2 linked regions of the Arabidopsis thaliana genome follow. The main gene of each other region encodes a partner of the protein of the gene in region 2 in a complex. Each region holds a gene or a part of one and is shown on either strand. Other genes may lie near its edges. The genes, in order: AT5G13430 and AT3G52730. A codon is read from its position in the direction of its gene.

The links.
Region 1: the proteins of AT3G52730 (region 2) and AT5G13430 are in contact, whole or in part, in a cryo-EM structure (PDB 8BEL), measured with the Arabidopsis thaliana proteins. Residues at the interface, in NP_190841.1 of Arabidopsis thaliana: Phe13, Glu14, Phe16, Tyr17, Met21, Tyr27, Phe30, Ile31, Gly34, Ala35, Glu39; in NP_568288.1 of Arabidopsis thaliana: Arg109 (codon at 1,353), Ala110 (codon at 1,350), Phe111 (codon at 1,347), Tyr113 (codon at 1,341), Phe114 (codon at 1,338), Leu116 (codon at 1,332), Ser117 (codon at 1,329), Arg120 (codon at 1,320), Phe121 (codon at 1,317), Ala124 (codon at 1,308), Ser125 (codon at 1,305), Arg128 (codon at 1,296).

The regions. Positions count from the first base shown.
Region 1 is NC_003076.8:4,304,556-4,309,643, forward strand, and holds AT5G13430 (Ubiquinol-cytochrome C reductase iron-sulfur subunit), read right to left. Parts: upstream 3,016-5,088; 5' UTR 2,845-3,015; coding exon 2,670-2,844; intron 1,503-2,669; coding exon 859-1,502; 3' UTR 551-858; downstream 1-550. Other genes in the region: AT5G13440 (Ubiquinol-cytochrome C reductase iron-sulfur subunit), read right to left, coding at 3,876-4,519. UniProt on the Arabidopsis thaliana protein: Component of the ubiquinol-cytochrome c oxidoreductase, a multisubunit transmembrane complex that is part of the mitochondrial electron transport chain which drives oxidative phosphorylation.
Region 2 is NC_003074.8:19,542,048-19,546,196, forward strand, and holds AT3G52730 (ubiquinol-cytochrome C reductase UQCRX/QCR9-like family protein), read right to left. Parts: upstream 2,264-4,149; 5' UTR 2,121-2,263; coding exon 2,001-2,120; intron 1,700-2,000; coding exon 1,580-1,699; 3' UTR 1,222-1,579; intron 1,150-1,221; coding exon of another isoform or gene 1,099-1,149; 3' UTR 772-1,098; downstream 1-771. UniProt on the Arabidopsis thaliana protein: Component of the ubiquinol-cytochrome c oxidoreductase, a multisubunit transmembrane complex that is part of the mitochondrial electron transport chain which drives oxidative phosphorylation.

The sequences.
Region 1 (5,088 bases), on a different chromosome or scaffold from region 2:
GAATAAAATAATAAGAGATAGAGCGGTGTCTTATGATAAACACGAGAGGTTGCTTAGTGAGGACCTTTGGCTTGTAATTAGTGTGTAATGGCCGTTGTTAGTTTGCAAGGGTCGGAGAAGTCACTTCCCATATCCCAAAAGGAAAACAACTTACAAGAGATAAGTCACTTCCCATATAGTTCATGGCCGTTGTTGGTGACCAAAACAAACAAGATTTTAACATTTTCATCTCCCACAATGGTTTTTACCCAAATCAAACTTTGGCTTTTGTGTGTCAAACATTTTTTCTTAACTAAAAAAGATTAAACAGAATAAAATATTATGTTTTTGTGTTCTTAGCCAATCTAGAAAAAATCTAGCTATGCCACTTTTGGATGATTGAATATTCATTCACGGGATGTCTTACGAATACAGTTTGAACTTATTCGGTTATCTTCCTGTAAACTATCAATCAAAGCTGATATATTACCTTTTGTTGTTTGTTTCTACGTTGGTTTTTCTCATACCTTTAGTTTTTCTTTTATGAACGTTGAGATACTATCGAAACTCAAATGTAAATACAACTTTTTAATTGGAATGACGATGTTTAGAATTATGAGATACGAAAGGAATCTCACTCATACATAGGACAAATAGGCATGTTAAATAATAAACACAGACTATGAACATAGTCGTCTTTTACTAGCGATGGATAAACGAAGATTGAGTATACTTCAAACAAAAATCACAAGTTTGTATTATTCAGCAAAAACAAGTCAATCTTGCTCTAACATGCCGGAAAATATTAATTAAAAGAAAAAAAGAACAAGTGAAGATCATCATTCAGATCCAGACTCTTGACTGTTGTGCTTTTATTAATCAACCGATGAGTAACTTATTCTCTTCCAGGAAGCTGTAGGTTGGTACTTCCAGGTTGTATGGTGCAGGACCTTTCCTAATTCTTCCAGATATATCGTAATGTGATCCGTGACACGGACAAAACCAACCACCATAATCACCAGCATTAGGCAAGGGGATGCACCCCAAATGAGTGCACACTCCAACAACCACTAACCATTCTGGATTCTTGACCCTAACCGAGTCTTCTTGTGGGTCCCTCAGGGATCCAACATCCACACTATTGGCCAGCTTGATGTCATCTTCTGTTCTTCGCCTGATGAAGACGGGCTTTCCACGCCACTTGACTGTCACGGTAGTTCCTGGTTCTATGCTCCCTAGGTCAACCTCAAGGGATGCAAGGGCAAGGACATCTTTACTTGCAGACATGCTCACAATAAGCTTCAAAACAAGCAGGCGGAGGACAGAGGCATAAACAAACCTCCCACCCGACAAGACAAAATAGGCGAATGCACGCTTGCTAGGGTCACCAGGTGGGTAACGCTCATGGTTATGGTCATCATAGACAATCTTTGAGTTAGGCGTTTTGACAGCTTCGACTGTGGCTGGGACTTCTGAACCAAAACCTATCTCATTTCCTTGAGCAAGGACTTGAGAAGAGAAGCCTGAAAATAGCATGAAACATTAATATTTCACATCAAAGGCAAACTTTATACTTGGTCAAGTGTTCTACAAGAATAAGAATAAGCCACAGGACTACCACAATCAAGATGTGACCATTGATGTATAATCTTCTAAGGAAAAACAAAAGTACATAAAACGGATTCCATGAAGTATGAGATCCATCCAAACAATTCAAACCATCGTATCAAACTCGGGGAGTGGAAACTTAAATACGATAATCTCCATAAAAAAAACAAGAGAACAAATTCAATGATCAACATGGAAACAGAAGAACAAAAAATTGGAATCTAGAAGCCAATGTGAATCACACTATGGATAACGCATTCCAATGATTTACAAGCAAGGAGCTTTAGTCATCAACCAAAGAATTACATCTAAACAGGTCAATCCATAATCCATCAATAAACTCAAATGTTCATTTCCTTCTGGACGAAAGAATGAATCAGAGAAGCCAAGTATACCAAATTCATCCAAACAAATCAATAATAACAAATTCAGTGAAACCTTAAATACTAAAACCAACGTAATAAACCAAGAGAAAAAAATATATTGATCAGATGCTGTATATTACAGAAACGCTTAAAACACAACAAAATTTCCAATGCTAAGAACAAACAAAGCTCTTTGGTTAAGAAAACATAAATTTCAGAATGCAAGTTCCTCAGCATGCCTTTAAACAGCTATAAATCCTACAAACATAGTATACAGTTAAAACATCCATGTCCCTAACAATGAAGAACTCAAAAGGATTGATACACAAGATCAAATTTCAAAAACCAAGAAGCCAGTGGTGAATCATACTATGATTAACGCACCGAAAAGAGGAAACTTTCCTAGTAAAACAAAGGATTATCTCAGAACTGAACAATCCACACGAAAGAAGTAATCATCAAATGCAATACAAATCCAGCAAGGAGAAGAATGTAGCCAAATGGTACATCAAGCTCATGGAATTCAAATCAGATGACACGTTTGTTCCCACGGATCATTGCAGATACAATACTAGAAATCTCAATCATTCCCGTGAATCATACAACCAAAAAAAGAAGACCTTTTCAAAAATCAATCAATCAAATAAAACTGCAAAGAACCACCGAAAATGAAAAATCAATGTAGAGAGAGAGGGAAAGGGTTATAAATCGGCAAACCTCTGATAAGGCTACGGTGGTAAGATGAGAGATCTGCAGAGGGGAGGGATCTGGGAGCTGAAGAGGAGTCGCCGCCACCATCGGAAAGGGTATGGTCACGGGAGACGACGAAGGAGGTCGCAGTCGAAGATCTCTGCGAGACAGAGAAAAGCCTCCTCCCTGCTACACGCAGCATCTCTCAGCTCAAATGTGAATCTAGGGTTTCGCTCTAGCTGAACAGAGAAATCCTCAGGTTTGGGACGGCCGATGCAAAACAAAACATAAGAGACTACTTACTAGTAAGTCCCTTAAAAATTGTCTTTGAGAAAAGGTCAATTTGTTTTGTTTTTTTTGGTTTTTGCGTATTACTTGATATTTTTTTACTTCAGGATTTTGATGGCATGGTTTTTTTTCTAATTTTAATTAATAAAATCTTTTGGTTTTACGATATAATTTTTTTGTGTGTGTGTATTTGTAAGATAAATTATTTTATTTGTATAAAAATCGTAATTTTTAATAATAATAATAGGGGGTCTATACTTGGTAAAGGATATATTTTGTTGTTGTAATGTTTAAACAAGATTTCCAACAAAAAGACTGTTTTACATCTGTGTGAACTTTTCAATACTAGAAGAAAGAGCTAGAAGGACATCATCAAAGAAGTAGTCATCGATGAAAACAATCTGAACAAGAAAATTAGGCTAAGATCCACAACCAGAATATGACATCTTTCATCAAAGTAGTAGTCTCGAGGTTCACAATTGGATTTCTCACTATGGAAGAGAAGGTTTATGGCTTAGTTGAGAATTGAAGGTCTTCGAAATGTCGTCTCCAGTAAGAACACGAAAGTTTTATAACACACCTTGAACCTTACCAAGTTTTTGTCTCAATTGTGATAATGGCTACAGACTTTAAGGAAAGGAAACTCTCTTACAAACGATATGTTACAAAATTACAAACATAAGAAAAATAGGGATGATACTATTCAAAACTCTTTTCAAATAATAAACAGAGACTATGAAGTATGAACAATGTATTTTCACCAGATGAGACAGATACTAAGTCATACAATGACAAGTTTGTATTATTCAGCAAAACAAGCCAATTTTTGCTGAGCCCAAAGTGTGAGGAAAGCGAACTTGCACGCTAAAATGCCGGAAAATATAAAAACAAAAACAGATTTAAGATCATCCAGACCATGACACTCGGACTGTTGTGCTTTATTCATTAACCAATGAGTAATTTATTCTCTTCCAAGAAGCTGTAGGTCGGTACTTCCAGGTTGTATGGTGCAGGACCTTTCCTAATTCTTCCAGATATATCGTAATGTGATCCGTGACACGGACAAAACCAACCACCATAATCACCAGCATTAGGCAAGGGGATGCACCCCAAATGAGTGCATACTCCAACCACGATCAACCATTCTGGATTCTTGACTCTAACCGAGTCTTCTTGTGGGTCCCTCAGGGATCCAACATCCACACTATTGGCCAGCTTGATGTCATCTTCTGTTCTTCGCCTGATGAAGACGGGCTTTCCACGCCACTTGACTGTCACGGTAGTTCCTGGTTCTATGCTCCCTAGGTCAACCTCGAGGGATGCAAGGGCAAGGACATCTTTACTTGCAGACATGCTCACAATAAGCTTCAGAACAAGCAGGCGGAGAACAGAGGCATAAACAAACCTTCCACCCGACAAGACAAAATAGGCGAATGCCCGCTTGCTAGGGTCACCAGGTGGGTAACGCTCATGGTTATGGTCGTCATAGACAATCTTTGAGTTAGGTGTTTTGACAGCTTCGACTGTGGCTGGGACTTCCGAACCAAAACCTATCTCATTTCCCTGAGTAATGACTTGAGAAGCAAAACCTGAAAATAGCATGAAACATTAATATTTCACATCAAGGGCAAACTTTATACTTGGTCAAGTGTTCAACAACACCAAGTATTAAGCAAAAATATTTTCAAGAGATAACACAGAAGAAAGGAATAACACTAGCAAACATTTAACATTAATGCATAGAATAACATAAGATTATAAAAACGGATTCCAAGAGATAACAGAAGGTGTCATCCAAACAATTTTCTACCATGATATCAAATTCAGTGAAAACTAAACTAATCTATCTAACGCAAGATCCAAGGAAGGAACTTCAATGATCATAAATGCTTAAAACATAAGAAAACTCCTAAGATAAGATTGCAAACATAGCCCTTTTGGTTAAAGATATGGAATTCCAGATTCGTTTACTGATGCAAGTATCTTATATGATGTGCCCAAAGACGATAAAACATCCATTTCCATAATAATGAATAAACTACATGTCAAAATCGATTATCTCATCAAAAAAGGATTATCTCAAAGCTGGTCAATTCATATCCGATCAATCACTATTCCAGCAAGGAGAAGAATGAGACGAAATGGTACATCAAGCTCT
Region 2 (4,149 bases):
AAAACCCGTCTCCCATTTTTCTTTCTAGCTTCCCACTTCTTATCGAGAGAAATCTTTCACTATTCTTAATATATAAACTGTTTATTTAAAAGAGCATTTCATTTAGAGAAATGAAAAAAAAAAAAAAAAGAGAGGCAATTCTCAGAAAACGTAAAAGAAAAAGTGAAACATGTGATGTGATGATCAGGTAGGGGCGCAGAACATAACATAACGTCTCAAGACAAAATGTTTTCGGAATATTCATTTGTCCATATTCCGACTCCGCGAACATCACATTTGCGCTTCCTACTACGATTTCTAAATCTCTTGTCGCAACAAACAAAATGCATTATGCGAATCTATGGATGGATAATTCCATTTGAAAGATATGTATTGATTGGTTTGCACGATGTTGATCGTCTCTACATGCATGGCCTTTCGAAAGTAGTGGTGCAAGTTATGTGATTTATGATAAAAGAGATCGTCAAAATCTAATCTTGAACTTTTGCCCCACAGCTTAGTGGAAGTCTTTCAGCTATGTGCACGAAATCGAACCAATGTGGTTTTGTCGGTTTAATTCCCACTTAATTCTGTAAATTCAAGAACGATGATGCTCTATCGACAGTGACTTCTCTGGTTATTCTTCAAAGAATTCGTATAATCATTAATCTTCTTTCTTTTTTGGGATCCAACATTTGAGTAAACTGATTGAAAAATCCTTCCAAATTTGACCCTTGGCAAACAAATGGAAATCTCCATGATTACTATTTCTCGAAGATGGATGAAATTAGACCTCAGAATATGGGCACTGCATATTAAAGCGACGCTTCAAGAACCCAAAAGTGAAGAAAAGGACGATTCACAAATGGGCGTTTTAATGGACTTGCTTTTAATAAGGGACAAATACTTGTAATGCCAAATGACGATTTATGATAATGTTATCATATTCCACAATGCAAAAATTCAAGTAATCAGAACCAGATAGCTTTAGGTGAAATATGAATCATCCCAATGATTTTATATTTATTCAACAAAGAAAGAGAGACGTTGGAATGCAAAACAACATGGAAATTTCCAATTCTTGCTTTTGGTCTGAAGAGAATTCAAAAAGAAGAAAGCTCATTCCTCTACTGGCCTTTGACCCAACACAGAGATGTCTTCATATCGTTTCTGCGCCATGACAAGAAAATCATTGTGAATACGAATATAACCATTCTCTTTCAGACTTTCACAGATACTCACACAAGGCAGAAAAATCAGGATGTCGAAGGTAGAGGGGGAACTATACACATTCCAATAGAAGCTAGAAAAGGTGAATCAGGCATCAATAGATTTTCGAAAAGCATTCACCTATTAGCTAATAACACTAACAACAAGCAGAGATTACAGAAGATGATTACGACGATGACATGAAACCAAAGAAGTGTGTGTAGAAAAATGTGATCATTCCATATCTCAAGATGGGCAATAAAGAGAATGAAGAAACAGTTATTACCATCTAGACTCTCTAGTTCAAATGACAGACAAACATTAACATCACCAATACTAAACATTTCCGAAACAAAATGCAGAACTTCGAATCAAAAGAGTAACAAAAAAATCATTCATCGTCAACATATTTAGGCATCAGATTGCATAAAACATGATTCAGAATACAAGAAAATAAACATACCCCAACATTGTTGCGTTCCCAGAGCTTATGAACACCGTAATCCACAGCCTGCAACCACAGATTTTAACATTTCATGAAAACTCCATTGTCTGTTCATGTAAACCTCTTCACATATAAGACCCCAAAAAAAACAACTTATCACCAGATTCTTCTCACAAAAACTATAATCTCCAGCTCTCTATTGTAGATTGATTAACCTCTCCAACGAAATTTCTTCACTAAGATTATCATTTGACAACACCAAAATCCCCAATTTCGTTCCAATCAAACCATACACACAAAAACCAGATCCGGTACAATACGAACCCTAATAAGCTATAACACAACCAAAAAGGCTCTGATCTCTTACCCGTTCACCGAAAAATGCGCCGGCGATGATGAAAGTGACGTAGACGGAATTACGGCGCATGATAAGTTTGTAAAAGCCTTCGAAAGCGCCTTTCTGATTTCTCCGAGCAGCGTACTCCATGATTGATTGGTTGTTTTCAGGTATCTGATCTCTCTACGTATTTTAGGGTTAGAGAAAGCGATCTACGACAATGGCGAGAGCGAAGAAGAGAGACGATGAGATTTTTCGCAACTAATCAGAAATGATTCTCTTTTGACTAGTTCGTATCTAGAAAGGCCATTTGGGCCTCAATAGTTCGGCCTCGTAGCCCATTTATTTTAACGGACCCAGTACGGCCCTAAATGTTAAGCCCATTTTGACACCCCTAACATTAGCAGAACAATCTGAGTTTTGGTTTGTCCCAAATCCCCAAAGAAATTCAGGCCCAAAATAATTTATTCGAATAAGTAGTTTTGATTGGGTATTTGAATATTTTTTTGAATGTTTGTATATTTTGGAGAAGTATATATTCCTATTATAAGATTTTTTTATTTTTTTTGCTAAGAAATATTATAAGATGTTATTCGAGAATGAGTATATATCCCTGTTCATTGAAATAAGACATCAAATCTCTTTTATCTATATTCAAAGGATTTTCTTGATACAAAGAAGGAAATCAAATTCTAGCAAAGAAAAATTAAAGGTATGATTTTTCTTTAACAAATCTACAAATTCTTTGGTTTGATATGAAGGAAAGATATGATCATCAGAAAACAGTGATTTTGTTTAAAGCTCGTTATATATGATTGGATTCATATGAGAATTCAAGTATGTAAGCGAGTATAACTCAGTCTTGTTTAAATTATTTTCATATTGAAATTATGTGGAGAGAAAATCATATGCAAATAAGTTAGAAAATCATGGATCCACATAATTCCAATTTGAAAGTGATGAGCTCTATTCAGTTATAGACTTGAAGTCTTGTAATCTCTTATGAATCTAATCATAGCGAGCTTTAGGTAATATCACAGTTTTCTATGATCATACCTTTACTTTAAATCATTCCAAAGTATTTGTGGATCTTCCACACTCACGTACTCATTCTTGGGGGATTTTCATGGAGGTAATGTCAAATGAATTCATAGCTTTCGATTTCTCTTTGCTTTGAGTTTGATTTTTTTTTTCTGATTGTATTAGGAAAATCTTTTAAATCTAGAGAAAGGAGAAAAGAGATAGAAGATTTCATGTTTTATTCTGATGAATAAGGGTTTTTTAAATATGAGTTCAAAGAAAGGGTTTTACTTGGTGACAAAGTAAAATTTGGAGTATAAACACTTCTAAAAGATGGACTTTATAATGGACATTCATCTATTATTAATAACAATGTTATGTATAGTGGGGTTTTTTAACGGGCAAACATCTTTTGGGTATTTGAGTAATTTACATATCTAAAATCATATTTCACGAGCAAGTATTTTAAAATACTTTGACTTAGGTATTTTGGTACCCATAAGCAATTTTTCACATAAGAACTCAAATATGTGTGTGAACTGAAAGTAATAACTAACCAAGGTCGTCGTTTCTAGATTCCTAAGTAAATAACTAATCAAGATTTCTTTTCAATAAGTCCGCTCTGATCTCTTTAATCGCGTTGTTACATAGTTACATGTCTAACTCATGGCACAGAGAGAGATGCCAAATAAAAGGGATAAATGTTGAATTGGACTTATAAGAAGCTAAGAACATGATTGGGCATGTTTGGGCACATGCAAAAGGAGCATTAGGAAAACGGGCAAATGTCACATTCACAATTTGATATTCTGAAGAAAGAAAAACTGCTGATTCAAAATCTTGAGGTTTTTAACAAAAGAATCCAAAAGAGCGAACCATATTCTAAAATTTAGAGCGGACACATTGCAAATATTGAACTTTGAGAATGAGGATATTCGCTTCCCTTCAGATTTATGAACTACAAATATGTATATTTATACTTATATACATTACTCAAATCTTACTTTCCTTATATCTGAAAAATGCAATAAAATTTCTAGTACTGATTATAATTTCTATTCGAATTTTTTCTTTTTAATTTTAGTTTTGATATCTTTCTAAACTTTTAAAAATTTTCCTTAAAACTTTTTCTAGATATCTATCTTTTCCCTGGAATATT